Saccharomyces cerevisiae S288C: one gene and its partners. The gene in region 3 interacts genetically with the main gene of each other region. Each region holds a gene or a part of one and is shown on either strand. Other genes may lie near its edges.

What was found.
Region 1: mutations in BIR1 (region 3) and CDC6 impair growth when combined (synthetic growth defect), as found in Saccharomyces cerevisiae (one study listed by BioGRID).
Region 2: of BIR1 (region 3) and SLI15, a mutation in one rescues a mutant of the other (synthetic rescue), as found in Saccharomyces cerevisiae (2 studies listed by BioGRID, with this or other methods).

What each region holds. Positions count from the first base shown.
Region 1 is NC_001142.9:65,782-71,384, forward strand, and holds CDC6 (AAA family ATPase CDC6), read left to right. Parts: upstream 1-3,556; coding exon 3,557-5,098; downstream 5,099-5,603. Other genes in the region: putative ubiquitin-specific protease UBP12, read left to right, coding at 1-1,788; fatty acid elongase ELO1, read right to left, coding at 2,069-3,001; YJL193W (uncharacterized protein), read left to right, coding at 5,585-5,603. UniProt on the Saccharomyces cerevisiae protein: Plays a crucial role in forming the pre-replicative complexes.
Region 2 is NC_001134.8:550,599-556,930, reverse strand, and holds SLI15 (Sli15p), read left to right. Parts: upstream 1-3,730; coding exon 3,731-5,827; downstream 5,828-6,332. Other genes in the region: AMN1 (Amn1p), read right to left, coding at 1-382; ICS2 (Ics2p), read left to right, coding at 2,621-3,388; HSP70/90 family co-chaperone CNS1, read right to left, coding at 6,003-6,332. UniProt on the Saccharomyces cerevisiae protein: Component of the chromosomal passenger complex (CPC), a complex that acts as a key regulator of mitosis. Stimulates IPL1 kinase activity and facilitates its association with the mitotic spindle.
Region 3 is NC_001142.9:583,680-592,767, forward strand, and holds BIR1 (survivin), read left to right. Parts: upstream 1-4,038; coding exon 4,039-6,903; downstream 6,904-9,088. Other genes in the region: YJR084W (uncharacterized protein), read left to right, coding at 54-1,325; TMH11 (Tmh11p), read right to left, coding at 1,441-1,758; STE18 (Ste18p), read left to right, coding at 2,389-2,721; EMC2 (Emc2p), read right to left, coding at 2,816-3,694; SCF ubiquitin ligase complex subunit GRR1, read right to left, coding at 7,193-9,088. UniProt on the Saccharomyces cerevisiae protein: Component of the chromosomal passenger complex (CPC), a complex that acts as a key regulator of chromosome segregation and cytokinesis.

The sequences.
Region 1 (5,603 bases), 520 kb from region 3:
TTGAATACTAGAATTGAAAAAGGCTACAAAAATGCAATGTTATTTGGAGTCCCTTTCTTTATTACGTTAAAAGAAGATGAATTGAATAATCCAGGTGCAATAAGAATGAAATTGCAAAACAGGTTTGTCCATTTAAGTGGTGGGTATATCCCATTTCCTGAACCTGTAGGAAATCGAACCGATTTTGCTGATGCTTTTCCATTATTAGTAGAAAAATATCCAGATGTTGAATTTGAACAATATAAAGATATACTACAGTATACGTCTATTAAGGTGACTGACAAGGATAAATCCTTTTTTTCCATCAAGATTCTGTCTGTAGAAAAAGAGCAGCAATTTGCTAGTAATAACCGAACAGGGCCTAATTTCTGGACCCCTATCTCCCAGTTAAACCTTGACAAAGCTACAGATATAGACGATAAACTTGAAGATGTGGTGAAGGATATCTACAATTATTCATCCTTAGTAGATTGTGCTGAAGGGGTCCTTATGCAAGTGGATGATGAGGGAGATACCGAGGGTAGTGAAGCAAAGAATTTTTCCAAGCCCTTCCAATCGGGAGATGATGAAGAAAATAAAGAAACTGTAACAAATAATGAAAATGTAAATAATACTAATGATCGGGATGAAGATATGGAACTAACAGATGATGTTGAAGAAGATGCAAGTACAGAGCCAGAATTAACAGATAAGCCAGAGGCGTTAGATAAAATTAAGGATAGCTTGACTTCCACTCCGTTTGCGATTCTTTCTATGAATGATATTATTGTTTGTGAGTGGAGCGAATTGGGTTCAAATGAGGCATTTTCCGATGATAAAATATATAACTGGGAAAATCCAGCTACTTTGCCTAACAAAGAGTTGGAGAACGCTAAGTTGGAAAGATCTAACGCTAAGGAAAGAACCATAACCTTGGACGATTGTCTCCAATTATTTTCCAAACCAGAAATACTAGGATTAACCGATTCGTGGTACTGCCCTACATGCAAGGAACATCGTCAGGCTACCAAACAAATACAACTTTGGAATACACCAGATATTCTGCTAATTCACCTTAAAAGGTTTGAAAGTCAAAGGTCTTTTAGCGATAAAATTGATGCCACGGTTAATTTCCCCATTACAGATTTGGATCTGTCGAGGTACGTTGTCTATAAAGATGATCCCAGAGGTTTAATCTATGACCTGTATGCAGTAGATAACCACTATGGTGGTTTGGGTGGTGGGCACTATACCGCGTACGTAAAGAATTTTGCCGACAATAAATGGTACTATTTTGATGATTCTCGAGTAACTGAAACTGCGCCAGAAAATAGTATAGCTGGATCGGCTTATTTGCTATTTTACATTCGCCGTCATAAAGATGGCAATGGATTAGGCAGCTCTAAACTACAGGAAATAATCCAAAAGTCACGCCACGGATATGATGAGCGTATCAAAAAGATATACGATGAACAGATGAAGTTGTATGAATTTAATAAGACTGACGAGGAGGAAGATGTTTCTGATGATATGATAGAATGTAATGAAGATGTGCAGGCCCCTGAATATAGTAATCGTAGTTTGGAGGTTGGGCATATTGAAACTCAGGACTGCAACGACGAAGATGACAATGATGATGGTGAGAGGACAAATTCAGGTAGGAGAAAGTTAAGATTGTTGAAAAAAGTCTACAAGAATAATTCAGGCTTGGGTTCATCGAGTACGTCTGAAATATCTGAGGGATGCCCAGAAAACGAAGTCGCTGATTTGAATTTAAAAAATGGTGTGACACTAGAATCGCCAGAATAATGACATGAGTTTATATGATAGATAAAATTAATAAATTTCCACATGTATAATACTTTTCAATCTTTTTCGCCTACTATTTACTGCCTAGGCTAATAAATTATATGTTTTTGTCCTGGGCGCGACATTCCAAAAAAAAAATAAAAAAGAAGAGAAAATACTGGCTTATGAATACAAAAATTACATAAACGAAGCAAAATGATTATTTCGAATAAAACAGTCTATATATAAGTCAAATACAAGATAGGAAGAAAAACAGAAAAAAACAAAACAGAAGGACTGGTTAATTGTTTTTGTTGATCTTCTTCTTACCACTAGCACTTCCACGTTTGTAAACCTCAATATAGAAAGAGATGAACAAAAACAAGTAGGATGTAAGAATGGCTGCACCAGCAGCAATAGCCGTCATTGAACCTAAGCAATCCTCACACTGTGGAGTACAAGCATTTTTGAAATATGCAGCAACAATCTTCTGATAAAGCACGTAATAAACGACAATGAGATCAAGCATGAACTGCACAATTTGTAGTCTTGTAACCCAGGCTTTCCACCAAACACGAATTCCGCTAGCAGAAAGGAAATAATACCAATACATAAGAACGTGAACAGCTAAGTTTAAGGTGACAGGAACCCATGTAACTGCTGTGTAACCAACCAATTGATTATAGCACAGTAAAGCTGTAGCACCATGATGGTATGTATGTAGGAAAGTCAACTTTCTATGTTTCAACACCATCAAGACAGTGTCTGCGAACTCCACAAACTTTGTCATATAGTTGAGATAATATAATGTCTCCATCGGTTGCGTCCACGATTCAACATTACAAACAGCAAAATACAGCCCATGGCGATACACTATGGGTAGCATCTGTTCCACCATCAAAATCAACCATAAAAAGGAAACAGAAGTCAACATCAAGTTATGGACTTGAGAAATAAATCTCAACTTGAGAGGTTTACATGACTTTACCAGGGACCTCCCGCCAAATATAACCACATAATACATGGCAATAAAAAGCAGTACCGGACGAGGTTCACTCAAAGGCTGCTTCCCAACGGTAAACTCAAAATCCTTTGGCTGGAAGCGACCTGCAGTGGCCCACCCAACCGCACGATTGAAATAGTCCCACAAATAAATATTAAAAAAAGGCCTATCTATTGTTGGGCGAAACCTAGAGGCTTTCTCGAGGCAAAAATTTTTCCAATCACTTACCATACTTGCTTGCAAATTTAGCTCTCAAGTTCCTTAAAATTGATAAGGTATCCTACCTTAATATTCATATCAGTTAGTCTTATATACTTCTACCTCTTTTTCTGGCTTCCTTTCTTTCCCTTATGTCCTTCGGTTTACTAATCCGTAAAGCCGACGCGGGTAAGCCAAGACCCTGAGTTTAGAACTAATATTTCGTCACGTCACGTAAGTGCAAGGTAATAAAAGCAGCAGAAATATCTGTAGTTTCAACAAAATATGTCTGGCTTGCGATTTGTTGTGTTTTGAAACTAGTTGCTAGTCTGCATTCCTTTGTTTTCCCTGAATTACCCAAAGAAGAAAGCGACGCGAGGCCTCACGCGTCGGAGTTTCCAGATCAGGAAATTACCCACTTAGGAAATTGAGTTGGCTGGCAGAAAAGATATAACGCCATCTTGAAAAATAGTATTAGTTAGTCTATTTTTTCATTTATATAGTAGAGGTATATTCTCTGGAAGAACAATTTTGGAATATTCAGAACACTGCGCTGCACTATTTTCATCAATAGTACCATATACGTTCATGTCAGCTATACCAATAACTCCAACTAAGCGTATCAGAAGAAATCTATTTGACGATGCTCCAGCAACGCCTCCACGACCTTTGAAAAGAAAAAAGTTGCAGTTCACAGATGTTACACCAGAATCATCCCCAGAAAAACTGCAGTTTGGCTCACAGTCTATTTTTTTGAGGACAAAGGCACTTTTGCAGAAGTCATCTGAGCTAGTCAACTTGAATAGCAGCGATGGTGCATTGCCAGCAAGAACAGCAGAGTACGAACAAGTTATGAATTTTTTGGCGAAGGCAATTTCTGAACACAGGTCCGATTCACTGTACATCACGGGTCCGCCTGGCACTGGCAAGACTGCCCAGCTTGATATGATTATAAGACAGAAGTTCCAGTCCCTCCCATTGTCGCTCTCCACGCCACGCTCGAAGGACGTGCTGAGACATACGAATCCGAACTTGCAGAATTTGTCCTGGTTTGAATTGCCCGATGGAAGGCTAGAATCCGTGGCGGTAACCAGTATTAATTGTATATCGTTGGGAGAGCCGTCCTCCATTTTCCAGAAGATTTTCGATTCCTTCCAAGATCTGAATGGCCCAACATTGCAAATAAAAAACATGCAGCATCTACAGAAGTTCTTAGAGCCTTATCATAAGAAAACTACGTTTGTGGTTGTGTTGGACGAGATGGACAGGCTATTGCATGCTAACACGAGCGAGACACAATCAGTTAGAACTATTCTTGAATTATTCCTTTTGGCGAAATTGCCTACTGTGAGTTTTGTGTTAATCGGTATGGCTAATAGTCTAGATATGAAAGATAGGTTTCTTTCCAGGTTAAATTTGGACAGAGGGTTGTTACCGCAAACTATAGTTTTTCAGCCATACACTGCTGAGCAAATGTATGAAATCGTCATTCAAAAAATGAGTAGTCTGCCCACTATTATCTTCCAACCGATGGCCATCAAATTCGCAGCAAAGAAGTGTGCTGGAAATACGGGTGACCTTCGAAAACTTTTTGATGTCTTAAGGGGAAGTATCGAAATCTATGAGTTAGAAAAGCGGTTTCTGCTTTCACCAACAAGAGGATCATTGAACTCTGCGCAAGTTCCTTTGACGCCAACTACTTCTCCGGTAAAGAAATCGTATCCAGAACCACAAGGTAAAATAGGCTTGAACTACATAGCCAAGGTCTTCTCAAAATTCGTGAACAATAATTCTACGAGAACGAGGATAGCCAAACTAAACATCCAGCAAAAATTAATTCTTTGCACCATAATTCAATCACTGAAGCTAAATTCCGATGCTACAATCGACGAATCGTTTGATCATTATATCAAAGCGATAACAAAAACTGATACTTTAGCACCATTGCAGAGAAATGAATTTTTGGAAATCTGTACAATTTTAGAAACTTGTGGGCTGGTTTCAATCAAAAAGACAAAGTGTAAAGGGAAAACCAAGAGATTTGTTGATAAGATTGATGTTGATCTCGACATGCGAGAATTTTATGATGAGATGACCAAAATTTCAATTTTGAAACCTTTCCTTCACTAGTCAGCTAATAGATTTATTTTTTCTTTTTTTTTTACAGTTCCACTTGCATCCCTCATTTTTCACATTCCTTTTTTTATAGAAAAGCATATCACTATATAAAAATTCTATTATAGTTGTAACAGCATAGCATATTATAGACTTTTTTTTTCTGGAAACGGTTAAACCGTTTGGCTGAGATGCAATGATATACGCAACATTGCATTCAAAGAAATTGCAAAAAAGACACAATAAAACGTAATTTGTACAAATATTTTACTATCATTAGCTACTGGATGCAGAATGGATGATTGTTAGGGGGAGGTGGGGTACAATTGTTTGTTTTTGATACATTTTCTCTTTCAAATCGCAACCAATTCACTCTGCTAATGTGATAACAATGGCGCCTGTCGGAAAGGTGAAAAAAAAAAAATGCAAACAAATAAATTGGCACGGTGTGACATATGCCTTCTATAATAATGAAGGAACTCGAAGAAAAAGGGGAAAACGATGTTTCAACAGCTGTCGG
Region 2 (6,332 bases), on a different chromosome or scaffold from region 3:
CAGAAACAACTCGAGAGGTTGCCCATGCATTTTCTGTAGCCGTATTTTTTAATGGTGTGGCCTCTGGAGTTGAAAGATACTCATTGCAGCTTTTCTTATTAGGCGTAGTTTGCACACTACTTTGAAGAAAACTTTGATCTGTTTTTAAAGACAAATCTGGTCTTACTAACTCCACTTTGCTTGAGCCGGGATTGTAACTACTTTGATGAAGATGACCTCCATACTTCCTTACAATATCTTTGAAAGGCTTCTCCATTTTAAGAGATGTGAAAGATGGACTAGGTGACATTTTTTTCAGCGGTCTAGTACACGGAGATTCAAGTGACTGGATATCTCTACCTCTTTTGAAGGAGCCATTGCTGCTTACGCGTTCTAGTTTCATTTAATGGGTACTTTACTAACAGAAAAGGAAAATGATAAATTATCAAACGAAGGGAATTATTAGTTCTAAGTGAAAGGAATGGATGGATATTAAACCAAAAAGGGATATTAAACCAAATTCAAAGAATAAAAGGAAAAGACAGGTATAAGTTCTAGAAGAAATAAACAGAGAAAAAAATGATATGATAAATAAGTTATTTTTGTACAGTTAACACATATAGTTTTAAAACTTTTTGAACGTTTTTGTTAGTTCCCTTGGGCCTTAATTCCGTACTTTAAAGTGTGAAGAGTATAGTCTATAGGACCCTTATAAAGAAGGGTTGCTATATATATATATATCCACAACTATACTCCCTTTCTTTCGTATATCTGAAGGTATCCTACTACTTGAAACAAACTTGAAGAATGGTTACTGAACAAAGGACAAGCATAAACACTCCAAGGCAAGGCGATACAAAAAACACCAGCAGGAATAAGATGATTGATGAGACATCCTAAGTCCAATAGAAGAAACAAGCGAGAAATAGCGGAACCAGGAAACCGAAGTTGAAGGAAATTCTTTCTTTCAATTAAGCTTTTTGTTACCATTTAGGAAACTTCCACGGTGTCATAATTGTGTTTTGTTTGTTTACTTCTGCAAGTTAATGAAAATCCTGGCGGACGACAGCCAGTAATGGCCGGAGAGTGCTTTATTTTGCCCAGCAAAAAAATTTTGCGAGTGTAACAAAGAGCGCGAGAGCAGACTACCACTAAGAAAAGCTTCGGGCAATGCGCAGCAAAAAATAGAAAAAAATGAGCAAAAAAGAGAAACATATTTTAACATGGTCTCCGTGCCTTCGGCGTACCCAGACAATTACGGTTAACACCCACAACGTCAAACAAGATAATATGTTCCACGCTTCGGACTAGAAAGTGACATATCACATGTATGGTAGTATCGTAGGTATAACATCCTTCCGCCATCAAACCCTTGTGGCCTATGAGTGCCTATGCAGGTAATTGCTCCAATAAAGATTAAGCAATTTTTTATCCCATAATTAATTGTCGCCAACCCAACCGAACCAATCCTTTACAATTTTTCACCTTACGCCATAACAAAAATGAGACAACCCCGCCACCTACTACTGATGCAATTATTAACACGTTTTCATCCGTTTATATTTCTCTCCGGCCGTTCAGCACCGGCTTGACCAGCCGGTGCTGAGGACAAGAAAAACACAGCGAAAAAAGGTGGGAGAACGAAGCTTCCGCAATTCTCACACACCAAAAAATGAGTTACCGGCCGTCTCTTCTTTTGCCCCTCGCATATAATGGGATTGCGAACGGAGAACGACAGCAATATAACAAGCGTACGTGATCCCTTTCATTCTGTTATATTCGAGAATAGTTGTTGACAGTGGAGATAACTCCGAAAATATCATGAAAAAGAGGGTTATTTCCGTTCGTCGGGACATTGCTGTAGAGCTCTTCAATGGCCACAACTTGGGAGCGTTAATATGCAATCAAGTTGTAGGGAAGATTATATCTCTCCAGGGATTATTACCTGGGACACAGAGCTCTTTTCCTTATCTCATCTCACGCATCTAGACCCTGCTAGCCGTCGTTTCTTATTTGAAGCGTTAATCACCCTCACTTTTCGTCCGTAGCACGTAAAAAAGAAAAATAGGGTACCGTTTACCTGTCGTTAATATGCAAGTCATTAACAATCCAGCCCAGTACTTTATTTGCTATGGCACGGCATAGGCGCAGGGAGTTCACGATTTGGTCATCAATGATTATCACGATATGGGGGTCCTTATGATCTTGATGTTCTTTCAACTGCTCTTTGTTTCTTTTTTTTTTGTACGACAGTTTATGTGTTAAAGAACACATCCACTCCAATTTTGGGTCGTTTATACTTTTGTTTCGCTAATCTTAAGCCAACCTTGAGTTTATACCTAATTATATGCCACGTTAATGCACAAAACCCCTCGTAATAAACTTTCCTTGGAAGACTTTCTTTTTCTATTCGACGCATTTGGTTACATATCTGTTGGGAAAGAGCCCTTCGACTGCAAGTCCGGCATCAAGAAAGCTTGACATCCAAAGAAGCATTTAAGTATAAATAAATGAGACCCATTCTATCTTCTCAAATAAATCTTTTACAAATATGTGAACGTCAAAGCGCATACTTAATAAAAATTTATACTCTACACCACCTTCGTTATTACTTCACTGAAGTTTCCCTTTCCAGCAAGATATGGGCAAATTTGAGCAAAAAGAAAGAGAAAGAATAAGCACATTTAGTTTTCCTACTACGGGCAGTCAATCTAGTACATCCATTAAATCACTTGGCAGCCCACTCTATGGACGTTTCAGCTCTCTCTCTTCAACAGAATCTCAGTTCGATAGCAGCAAACAACCCCATGAGTACGAAAAGAGCTTTTATTTTGAAGAGTCTCAAGGCGAAGCTCTGTTCAACAAGCTGAAGACCTACTCTTTCCCTGGAGACAAGGATGGTGTGAAAACGAGGAGAAATTCCTCCATATGTCCAAGAAAGCCTAATGCGGTATCACCTTTAAGGGTAGAAAGTAATGAATTATCATCACATTCGCATTCACGTTCATTATCACACGAACTTACAAAGCCTTCAGGGCGAAGGAAAAGTTACCACAGAAAAAGTCATGCAATCTCATTCAGCAGGTCTTGTAAGCCAAATTTCATTGACGGGTACGATTCTAATTCAAGCATAGGCGTCAATTCAAGAAAAACTTCATTGGCAAGTTCTTTCTTGGACAAAGAATATCATTCTTCACCGGATACTTCATATACCCACCAAATGTCCCCGAAAAACACAATCATGAATACCAATGAACAATTAAGAAGAAACGCAAGCGGTAGATTCGGGAGTTTGAAAGAATTCGCTGAAAAAAATCAGATAAATATTGAGGGCAAAATTTTTGCTCATAAAGTGGAAACTGGAGACATATTGCAACCACTAATTGACTTAGATATTGACAATAAATGACTGGATCATTTGTCTCGCATTTTTTTTTTTCGTTTGTTTTGATAAATAAAGGACTTAATGTTAGTTTTGATAATGTTAAATGAATATATAAAAATAAACCATGTAAAGAGTATTTTGTTACGCTGTTTCGTTATAGCGTTATGTCAGTGTTATTATTTCTTATACGCGGAAAAGCCTGATCCATTCTGTTCTGAAACCGATCTTCATATTTTAAATTTCGCGAATTAACTAAAAAAAGAAAACAAACAAAAACTCGTTTCAAGTATTGCCAATGATACAAACAAAACGTTTCAAAGTATCTCCTCAACTGACGGACTTTGAAAGAGCCCGAAGATTTAAACAATGGACTGGGCAATCAAAGCAGCTAGGAAGAAAACTCAAAGGAAGCCAGGCTCTACCCGTTCAATCATAGAAACCCTCGATGATCTAAATAATCTAACAACAGATGCACATTCAGAAATAAATCAACGATTGTACGAAAGTAGTGAATGGTTAAGAAATAATGTTTATATGAATACACTCAAGTATGAAGACAAAAAGATGGAAGAGTCTTTAATTAGCCCCGAAAATACGCATAACAAAATGGATGTCGAATTTCCTAAAATGAAAGGAGAATATGAACTTTCTAACTCCCAGAATGATGCCGCAAAAGACGTTACTAAGACACCCAGAAATGGATTACATAACGATAAAAGTATCACGCCTAAATCACTCCGCAGGAAGGAAGTCACCGAAGGAATGAATAGATTTAGTATACATGATACCAATAAAAGCCCGGTTGAGCCATTGAATAGCGTTAAAGTCGACGCCAATGAAAGCGAAAAATCCTCACCATGGTCACCTTACAAAGTTGAAAAGGTTCTAAGAGAATCCTCCAAGACTTCGGAGTCTCCGATTAATACAAAACGCTTCGATAATCAAACATGGGCGGCTAAGGAAGAAATGGAGAATGAACCTATACTTCAAGCTTTAAAGAAAGCTGAATCAGTAAAGGTGAAACCACCACCGAATTCTGGGATAGCGAGATCTCAAAGAAGGTCGAATATGTTTGTTCCACTGCCGAATAAAGATCCTCTTATTATTCAACACATTCCACCAACAAAATCTTCAGGATCAATACCAAAAGTACGAACAGTAAAGGAATCACCAATCGCATTTAAAAAAAAATCTACGATAAATAGTCCTGCTATAAGAGCTGTGGAAAACAGTGATACCGCGGGATCTACAAAAGCATCCAGTGTTTTCGATAGGCTATCATCTATTCCAACAAAATCATTTGAAAACAAAATTTCCCGTGGAAACGTTGGTCACAAATACTCCTCTTCATCAATCGATTTAACAGGCTCCCCCATGAAAAAAGTTTCTCAAAAGTTTAAGTCAATAAACTCCACGGATACTGATATGCAAGAAGCGTTAAGAGATATATTCTCAGTAAAAAATAAAATAACCAAAAATAATTCACCCAAAGGAAAAAACTCTCGAAAATCCTCTATTCCGAGGTTTGATAAGACTTCTTTGAAGCTAACGACACACAAAAAGCTAGCAATCATTGCAGAACAGAAAAAGAAGTCCAAACACTCTAGTGATGTTCATAAAACTGGTTCAAGACCGCACAGTATTTCTCCAACAAAAATAAGTGTCGATTCAAGCTCGCCATCTAAAGAAGTTAAAAATTATTACCAAAGCCCTGTAAGAGGTTATTTGAGACCAACAAAAGCGTCTATTTCGCCTAATAAAAATAAAAATTTAACAACGTCGCAAACGCCACATCGTTTGAAAATTAAAGAGAAAACATTAAGAAAACTTTCTCCGAATATTGCTGACATCTCCAAGCCAGAGTCTCGTAAATCCAAAAATTATCGGCTTACAAACCTTCAATTACTTCCACCAGCAGAGGCAGAACGAGATGACTTAAAAAAAAAGTTTGATAAAAGGTTATCAGGAATTATGAGGTCTCAACAGGAACATCATCGGCGTAAACAAGAGAAACAAAAAAGGATGTCGCATTTGGAACAAGATCTAAAAAAGCAAACAAGCTTTAGTAATGACTACAAGGACATACGTCTAAAAGAATCTTTGGCTCCTTTCGATAATCATGTGCGAGATACCATCAACAAAAATACTGCATTTAGTACCGACAATATATTGGCCACAATAAATACAGTTGACCATCGAGAAATAATCGGAAATGTGACCCCAAAGATAGCCTCTGTCAATGATTCTTTACCAGAGATAAATACTGATTCTGAAGATGAGGCTAGCGTAACTTTAGCGGCATGGGCTAAATCCCCGTATTTGCAAGAGCAATTGATAAGACAGCAAGATATAAATCCACAAACTATCTTTGGACCAATTCCGCCTTTGCACACCGATGAAATTTTCCCAAATCCTAGGCTAAACAGGTTGAAACCGCGTCAAATTGTGCCCAAAAGGTCTTGAATTCGATTACCCCAGAAAAGAAAAATTCAAACTGGTTAACATTAAATCAAGTACACTTTAAATACTCTGGTATTCCCCCTGCATTACGTATATCGTTCACTTTCTTTACTTTTCCTTCTTGCTTTGTTATTTCTATCTACAACTTTGCGTTACATATTTTTAACTATTTGACACTTCACACAGATCTTCTTTCTAAGGCTTTTTGCTTATCCCACTTGGAAATCCACCCTTCACTTTCTACCTTTGGCACAATATATATTTTCAAAGCGTTATCGAACAATGGTACATCTGGCGACTCTTTCTTCAAGATATCGTGAAATGTCAGTTTCTTACCAGCTTTAATCAAACCACCTGCCTTTGTTTCCATGAACACCAACACTTTCTTTGGTGTGAAGTTTTCCTTACCTTCTTTTTTGAAGCGTTCTTGCGGCCCTTCCAAAACTAGGTCAACAAGTTCTTGCACAGTAGTTAACTCACTTACTTCACCTACAAAATCAAATTCATC
Region 3 (9,088 bases):
GGAGAGAGTTACACAGGAACAGAAAGGTCCAGCAACGGTTTCTACAACCAATCATGGATGTTGATATAGGATGTTATTTTGAAGAGAAACGCTATGACGACAAACTGTTAGACTTCATCAGATATGACGTTAAAACACCTAAAAAGACTAAATATATACTACAAAGGCCTACGGCGACAGATGAAGAGAGTGTACGATTACAAAGGTTTTACCAATTAGGAGTAGATCTAAAATTGAAGTATTCCAAGCGGAGGTCATTGAAGAAGCAAGGGCGGATCAAGAATGCTACTGAGGAATTGCTGCGATTAGCCAATGAACAGTTGAAACTTTTCAACAGAATAGTAGAAAGAGAAACCAATTGGATAATTTATCCGCTGTGGGTAATGGCTAAACAATTAATTCGTCTGGCAAACGAATCTAGTGAACTTAATAAAGACTCAATTGAGGAATGTGGACGCACTATCCATAGAAGCTTTACTATATGCCTCAATGATAGGAACCCAAGATTGAATGAAAATAAAAAAATCGGGTGTTATATGTTTGCTAATCTAGAGTTTTCCATCTACCATCGGTTAAGTAATAAAGATATGATTAAAAATTTAGTGAAAGTCCTCGAGAGCAGAGTGAACGCCCGGGATATACCACCGTTGAATAAAAGCCTGGCAATGGAACATAAGTCTCAAGTGGTGTTGTATAATTATTATCTAGGTCAATACTACGGATGTCTGGAAAACGATCACGAACGCGGGTTCTTCCATTTAAATGAAGCATTATTGCAATGTCCAATGCTATATGTGGAATCTACCGGCAAGTTCGTCTTACAGGGCCAAATGGAAAAGATAATGATACTGCTGGTTCCGCTTGCTCTTTTAACTAAAAGGTTGTACCCTCACTGGGATCATCCAGTAATCGCCGGAGTAATTACTAGGAGTAAGCGCTTAAGTCAAGTTTATCCGACATTAGTGCGTAGCGTAATCTCAGGGAACCTGTCACTGTACGAGGCTACCGCAGCAAGCCATGAAAGATTTTTCCTTTCGCAAGGATTGCATGTCGTCATCACATTACTTCGAGAGGTGGTCTTCACTCGGTTGGTACAACGATGTTGGCAATGGGGGAATGATCGGAAAAGTATCATGCCCTTGAAAATTCTTCTGGCAACAAAACAACACGATAGTTCTGCCAATGAGGACGAAGAGGAGCAGTTGGATGCCCTAGAATGCCGTCTAGCAAGTGCTATAGCAAGTGGGCTTTTGCGTGCTTATCTTTCTCACTCCAACCGCTGCATCGTTTTCAGTAAGAAGGAGCCCTTTCCCCATAGCAAATGATAGAAAAATAGTCAATAATTGAACGAAGAAAAAAAAAAGAAAGTTTGTTCATAAAAGAATATCATATTATATATATATATAGGGTCGTATATATATCGTGCGTCTTCTTCCTTCTCTAAGGGTAAAATTCCTTGTATTTGTTATAATAGTAGTAACTGCCGAGCCCACCCAAAGCTGTCAAAACGACAGGGACAGGTTTAGTGAACCTGGAAGGCATGCCTCTTATGACACCAGCACCAAGTAGTAAGGTCGATGCACCCAATGCCATTTCGAGCCCACCATCTCTATTCATATGTAGCAAGTAACCGGCAATCCCATATACACTACCGAATACTAAGCCAGATACTAGAGATGGAATGGAGCCCTTACGGTAGTATCCCATAAGGCCACCGGCTGTAGTCAAAAGACTCAATGTATATGCTGGATGTTCCATAGTGTGATCTGATGTTCCTTTCTCTCAAACTTCGTTTCTGTCTTGTCTCCCGCTGTTACCTAATAACTTCATGTGATCTGCTCCCCCTTCTCGTTAAATACCACCTTTTCATCAACCCCGTAGGGCGCGACACGTCTAAAATATTAACCTCTGAATACTTATTGGGTCAAAATGAATGTTGATAACTTTCCTTTACAAAAAAAAAACTAATAGAGTATATGCATTTCGGTAGTGAAATATTCGTTAATGCTAATATGCTCAGTAGTGATCCTAGATTACCAGTTTTACTGCAGCCATCGTACAATTTTGGAACGAGTATAAAGAGAGAAATTAAAAACGACAAGAAATATTCGTACTAGCTTCTCTTCCGGCTTGATGACAGTCTTAATATCATCTGCAACTCTTGAAATCTTGCTTTATAGTCAAAATTTACGTACGCTTTTCACTATATAATATGATTTGTCAATGTGATGAGTGAATGTCTCCCTGTTACCCGGTTTTCATGTTGATTTTTGTTTCAGGCTCTAAATGTTTGATGCAATATTTAACAAGGAGAACAGAAATGTTTTGTGACAGCACCTGTCAATTTTAGGATAGTAGCAATCGCAAACGTTCTCAATAATTCTAAGAATGACATCAGTTCAAAACTCTCCACGCTTACAACAACCTCAGGAACAGCAACAGCAACAGCAACAGCTTTCCTTAAAGATAAAACAATTGAAGTTAAAAAGAATCAACGAACTTAACAATAAACTGAGGAAAGAACTCAGCCGTGAAAGAATTACTGCTTCAAATGCATGTCTTACAATAATAAACTATACCTCGAATACAAAAGATTATACATTACCAGAACTATGGGGCTACCCCGTAGCAGGATCAAATCATTTTATAGAGGGTTTGAAAAATGCTCAAAAAAATAGCCAAATGTCAAACTCAAATAGTGTTTGTTGTACGCTTATGTAATGATAGTAATAGAATCCAAAAAAAAAAAAAATATACATGCTTTTTCATATCCTCTCTCACCCTATCTTTTTTTTTCTTCTAATTTTGGCTCCGTTCATATCTTATTCAAAATTAATTCAGCGGTAATCTTATCTTTATTGTTAGACTTCGCAGAAATTTCCTTTAGCTTCGATGCAGATAGTTTGATCAAGTCATTTTGTTTATTACGTCCCAGTTCGCGAGAAATGATGTTAACCAATGCCCACCCTTTTAGGTATAGTTCGCTAAGTTCAACGCTCCTCAAAGCATTCTTTAATGCCTTTTCCAAGAGCTCGGTCTTGGTTTGTTTCTTGCTACGTAGAGCCTCATAATACAGAGTCTCACTTAGCCTACCAAAACAAGCGTAATTGAATGGTGTAATACATAGGACCTGTTCCAAACAATAACAGGCTTTTTCAAATTGGCCCATTTCGAAATAAATCTCGCTGGCATACCACCACAATTCTGCATCAAGCGGGAATTTATCTGTAAGAGCTACCACTTCTTTAAGAACACTTTCTTGGCTCAAGTTCTTGGAAGTTGTCTTGATAGCTATCAATTTCTTTGCAATAGAGACATAAGTAACGAAGTCCGTTTCATACTCCAGATCATCATTCAACAAATTTTCCAGATATTCAATAGCGCCTTTATCATTTCCGTTTATCTGCAATAAAGTGGCTTTCATGATTACCATTTTATACGAATTTTCACCAAGACGATCTCTTAATGTATTATAAACAACTTGCGCATCAACGTCTTGGTTTCGGTACACCAAAACATAGAAAAGCATTTCCATCAAGAAGAAATAGTTTCCTTCTGTTAGTGCAGAGTCTCCGCTTTTCATGTAAATTTTCATTTCATTTTCTAGTTGCAGTAATTGTTCTGGATTAAATTGAGTATACGCTTTGGTATTCATAATTGTCAAAAGCTTTTCTCTAACCAAATCCTTCAACATTGTTTTATCTACTGCTTTCTATAATTTTCTCCGTTCCAATGCGATCCAATGCCTTTCATTCATACATAGTTATTTATTTCATTAACGATCCAAATCTCTTTACTTAACTTCACTAGTCAACGCTTCTAACACATCACGCGATACGAAGATTAACAGTTTAGTATAATATTGCAATACATACCCATTTCACACATCGGTCAAGGTCATCAAGCACTTTTAGTTATAGTGTGTCCTATAGTTCTTTCAGATTGATTGAGGTTTCATATTAGTGTTGAAAGCCTAGCTAAAGTTCTCTGGGCGTGCAACATTCGAGGACACATCGGTTGTTTATACCTCATGGGATTATGGATGGTCAAATAGATAAAATGGAGAAGCGATATAGCATGACCAAACTGGAGAATAGGTTAAGGACTTTCCAAGATGGTGTTGCACTTGAAAAAAAAAAGTTAAAGTGGAGTTTTAAAGTTATTCCGTATCAGGCAATGGCCAAGCTTGGATTTTACTTTGATCCAGTGATCGATCCTAAGACATCTAAACTGAAAAAAGACTCTGTAAGATGTTGCTATTGTCATCGTCAAACATACAATGTGAGAGACTGCAGATCCAAAAGAAAAGATGTTCTTGAGACTCTAAGCAATATAATGAGGCAACATCTGACTGTTACTGATAACAAACAAGTTTGCCTCCTTATTTACTTGCGCAATAAGCTATTGACGGACTATAGCTTCCATATGGGGGTTTCGGACTGGAAAAATGACAAGTACTTCAGCAATCCAGATGATGAAAACGTGATAAACCTAAGAAAATTTACTTTTCAAGATAACTGGCCTCACAGTGGTTCTCAAAATGAACATCCGCTGGGTATAGAAAAGATGGTGAATGCAGGACTCATGCGATACGACTCCAGCATAGAAGGCTTAGGCGATCCAAGCATGGATAAAACACTTATGAACGATACCTGTTATTGTATTTATTGCAAACAGTTGTTACAAGGTTGGTCAATAAATGACGATCCGATGAGCCGACATTATAAGGTTTCTCAAAATGGGAACTGTTATTTCTTTCAGACACGTAATCGATTTGAGAGAATAAAAAATGACAATGACAGTATCACGAAAAATTGCGAAGTCTCTCCAACTTTAGGCGAAAATGGGAAAAGAGAAGTGATCAACACGAAAACCGCTTCTCAAAGGCAGTGTCCTTTATTTGAGTCACCTCCATCTAGTACTGGTCCTCAACTTGACGATTATAATGAGAAGACAGATATATCTGTTATTCAACATAATATAAGTGTGCTTGATGGAGCACAAGGCGAAAATGTAAAACGTAATAGTGTGGAAGAAAAAGAACAAATCAACATGGAAAATGGAAGCACTACATTAGAAGAGGGCAATATAAATCGTGATGTTTTAGCAGATAAGAAAGAAGTTATTTCGACACCAACTGCAAAAGAAATCAAACGTCCAAATGTCCAGCTAACCCAATCATCGTCACCTATAAAAAAGAAAAGAAAGTTTAAGAGAATATCGCCTAGAAAAATCTTTGATGAGGAAGATAGCGAACACTCCCTTAATAATAATTCTGCCAACGGAGACAACAAAGATAAGGATTTGGTTATAGATTTTACAAGCCATATCATAAAAAATAGAGATGTAGGGAGAAAGAATGCTATTTTAGATGACAGCACAGATGAATTCAGTTTCAGTAACCAAGGACATAACACATTTGACATACCTATACCAACCTCATCACATTTGCTCAAAGGTATAGATTCAGATAATGACAATGTTATACGAGAAGATGATACTGGCATAAATACAGACACAAAAGGAGCGTCTTCTAAACACGAAAAATTTTCTGTTAATTCTGAAGAAGATTTAAATTTCAGTGAAGTGAAACTCACAGGTAGAGACAGTAGTACTAATATTCTTATAAGAACGCAAATTGTAGATCAGAATTTGGGTGATATCGACAGAGATAAGGTCCCCAATGGTGGATCCCCAGAAGTTCCAAAGACACATGAGTTAATTAGAGATAACTCTGAAAAGAGGGAAGCACAAAACGGGGAATTTCGACATCAAAAAGATTCAACTGTACGGCAATCTCCAGATATATTACATTCTAATAAAAGTGGTGATAATTCCAGTAATATTACCGCAATACCCAAAGAGGAACAAAGGAGAGGCAATAGCAAAACATCCAGCATTCCCGCTGATATTCATCCTAAACCAAGGAAAAACTTGCAAGAACCAAGAAGCCTATCAATAAGTGGAAAAGTTGTTCCAACAGAAAGAAAATTAGATAACATCAATATAGATCTAAATTTTTCGGCGTCCGATTTTTCACCATCATCACAATCTGAGCAATCATCAAAAAGCTCAAGCGTTATTTCAACGCCGGTAGCGAGCCCTAAAATTAATCTCACACGCAGTTTGCATGCAGTCAAAGAGCTTTCTGGCCTCAAAAAAGAAACTGACGATGGTAAGTATTTTACTAATAAGCAGGAAACTATAAAAATACTGGAAGATGTGTCTGTGAAGAATGAGACCCCAAATAATGAAATGTTACTTTTTGAGACTGGAACCCCGATCGCATCTCAAGAAAACAAGTCAAGAAAATTATTTGATGAAGAGTTTTCTGGGAAGGAATTGGATATACCTATAGATTCATCAACTGTAGAAATAAAAAAGGTTATTAAACCCGAATTTGAGCCAGTCCCATCAGTTGCAAGGAATTTGGTGTCTGGAACCTCTTCATATCCACGGAATTCACGTTTAGAAGAACAAAGAAAGGAAACAAGCACAAGTTTGGCTGATAATTCTAAGAAAGGAAGTTCATTTAATGAGGGCAACAACGAAAAAGAACCGAATGCAGCAGAATGGTTTAAAATTGATGAAAATAGACACCTTGTAAAAAATTACTTCCATGATTTGTTAAAATATATAAATAATAATGATGCTACGCTAGCTAATGACAAAGACGGTGATCTGGCTTTTTTGATTAAGCAAATGCCTGCAGAAGAGTTGGACATGACATTCAACAATTGGGTGAACCTAAAAGTGCAATCTATTAAGCGCGAATTTATAGATGACTGTGATAAGAAATTGGACATATTGAGAAGGGATTACTATACTGCCACAAATTTTATTGAAACTTTGGAAGATGACAATCAATTGATCGATATTGCTAAGAAAATGGGCATTTTATAGCTAACTAATTTGATAAACAGGCTAAAGGTTTGTATTTTTTGTAGTTTTGAAACTGTGTATAGAATGTTTCGCCGCATCGCAGATATCTGCAGGGAACTGTTGACATAGCATCTTCTGTGGACGTGACAACGTTACGTATATTCGTTGATACCGCAAGTCTATAGCGTATACATGCTAAGGCAAAAAGTTTCAAAGTGAATGCATTATGTATTTATATGTAAATAAGTAAGAAAAGTGGGATTTTGAAAATAAAGGTGTAGTAGGACAGTAAGTATTCAATGAAATACAATTATAACATATCTTCATCGGGCGTTCCTGATGCTTCATCCATTTGAGAATCAATGGCAGTGTCAGGCATTGATTCGTCAATTGTGTTGTTGTTATTGTTCCTAACCATGTTCTGATTACGAAGTCCCATTTGGAGATTCCTCATCTGGTCAGGTGATATTTGCATTCTATTGCCAAACTGACGCCAGAAATTTGGATTTTCTGTTTCATTGTCATCATTACCATTGTTAGTTTCATTGTTACTTGTATCGTTTGCCCCAGCATCCGATACAATATTCACTATGTTGTTGGCGTTCCGGTTGGCGTCATTGTCATTATTGTTATTCCATGCTGATCTTTGGTGGGCTATTAATAGTTCTCTTTGTCTGGTTAACAATGTTATGTTATCTTTTAAATATAGTCTCAAAACAACGGTGGAGAGCTTGTACTTCTGAACCACCATAATGAATTTGTCAATGAATAAAAGTCGCCATATTAAAAGCCCTTTTTGGTAATCTATGTTGCCCGATTCCTGAACCGTTTTTTGTACTAAACAAATTTGTCTGTTTAATTCAATCATTTGCATATAGGTTTGAGTCATTTCATGAAGTAAAAAACCAGTAAACTGAAACTGAACTCTTACCAAACTAGCAACATTCACCTCGAAATCATCAATATGATCATTTAACTCATGGAATTTTCTAACAATATGACACATTTCACTGTTAATTTCCCGGTTTACACCAGGTGCTACGACATAATCTTGATCATCGTCCACATCACTAAATGGATCTTCACAAAACGTCTTGTTTACTTGCAATAATAGTGAGTTAACTTCCTCCGAGCTCATCCTAATGCCATCAAAAGTATTGAGATACCAACTGAATACTTCATCTATTCGTTCAAAATTGATATTCTGGAAAAGAAAATCGTTATTTAGACCGTTGATTTGATTTAATCCTGTAGCAGCTATAATTGCAGCGGAATCTTGATTTAAATCAGTTATGATTCTCCTAAGAGCATCTTCAAGTGTTTCACCGTTAAATATCAAATTCTTGGATCTAATATATTTTGTCAAAACATCATTTACATCGACATGTGGTCCAAAAGCGGGCGACGTTAAATTTACTAAATAATGGCGAAGTTTATGAACACCTTTCCCTGAAAATACGCAGAATATTTGACGTTGATTTTCACTAAAGTCTGAGGGTGCAGGCCTGCAATACATCGTTATATCGGGGCGTAAAAATGACGGAACAGCAGTCAAAGACAAATGTGAGAGCCTTGGGCAAGACATTAGAAGCTCATATATCGGATATATTGTTAAATTAGAACAGTAAGATAAATGTACCCTTTCTAAAGTATCATTTCGGCCTCGCAAGGAAACCATATTCAACAAACCCTCGTCAGTCATTTGCGTACATTTGACAAGGCCAATTCTCTTTAATTTTGGTAAGTCTGCTAGTTCATAAAGAGTTCTATTGGTTAAATTCGTACAGCACGCAAAGTCCACATACTGTATTCTTGTACATGAATGAAAGAGTGCTCTTACCCCGTTATCAGTTATATTGAAACAGTGCCCAAAATGCACTGTTTGCAAGTTTTTGCCCAGCTTCGATAATTGGAACAACGATGCATCTGTAATTCGGCTACACTTGCCTAGAAAAACATTACGTAATTTAGGGGCTAAATTGACTATACTTTCTATAGTTTTATCTGTAATATTTTCACATCCAGAAAGATCAATCAATCTTAAAGAGGGCATATCGTCAACTACTTTAGAAAGCTCCTGGAAAAGATTATCCGTAATATTCGTATTATGAGTTATTCTGAATTCCCTCAGCTGAACTAACCTAGTGAGGAGTTTTAACAAACTAGAATCAGTGACATTTGGACTTAATGTTATATCGACCTCTAC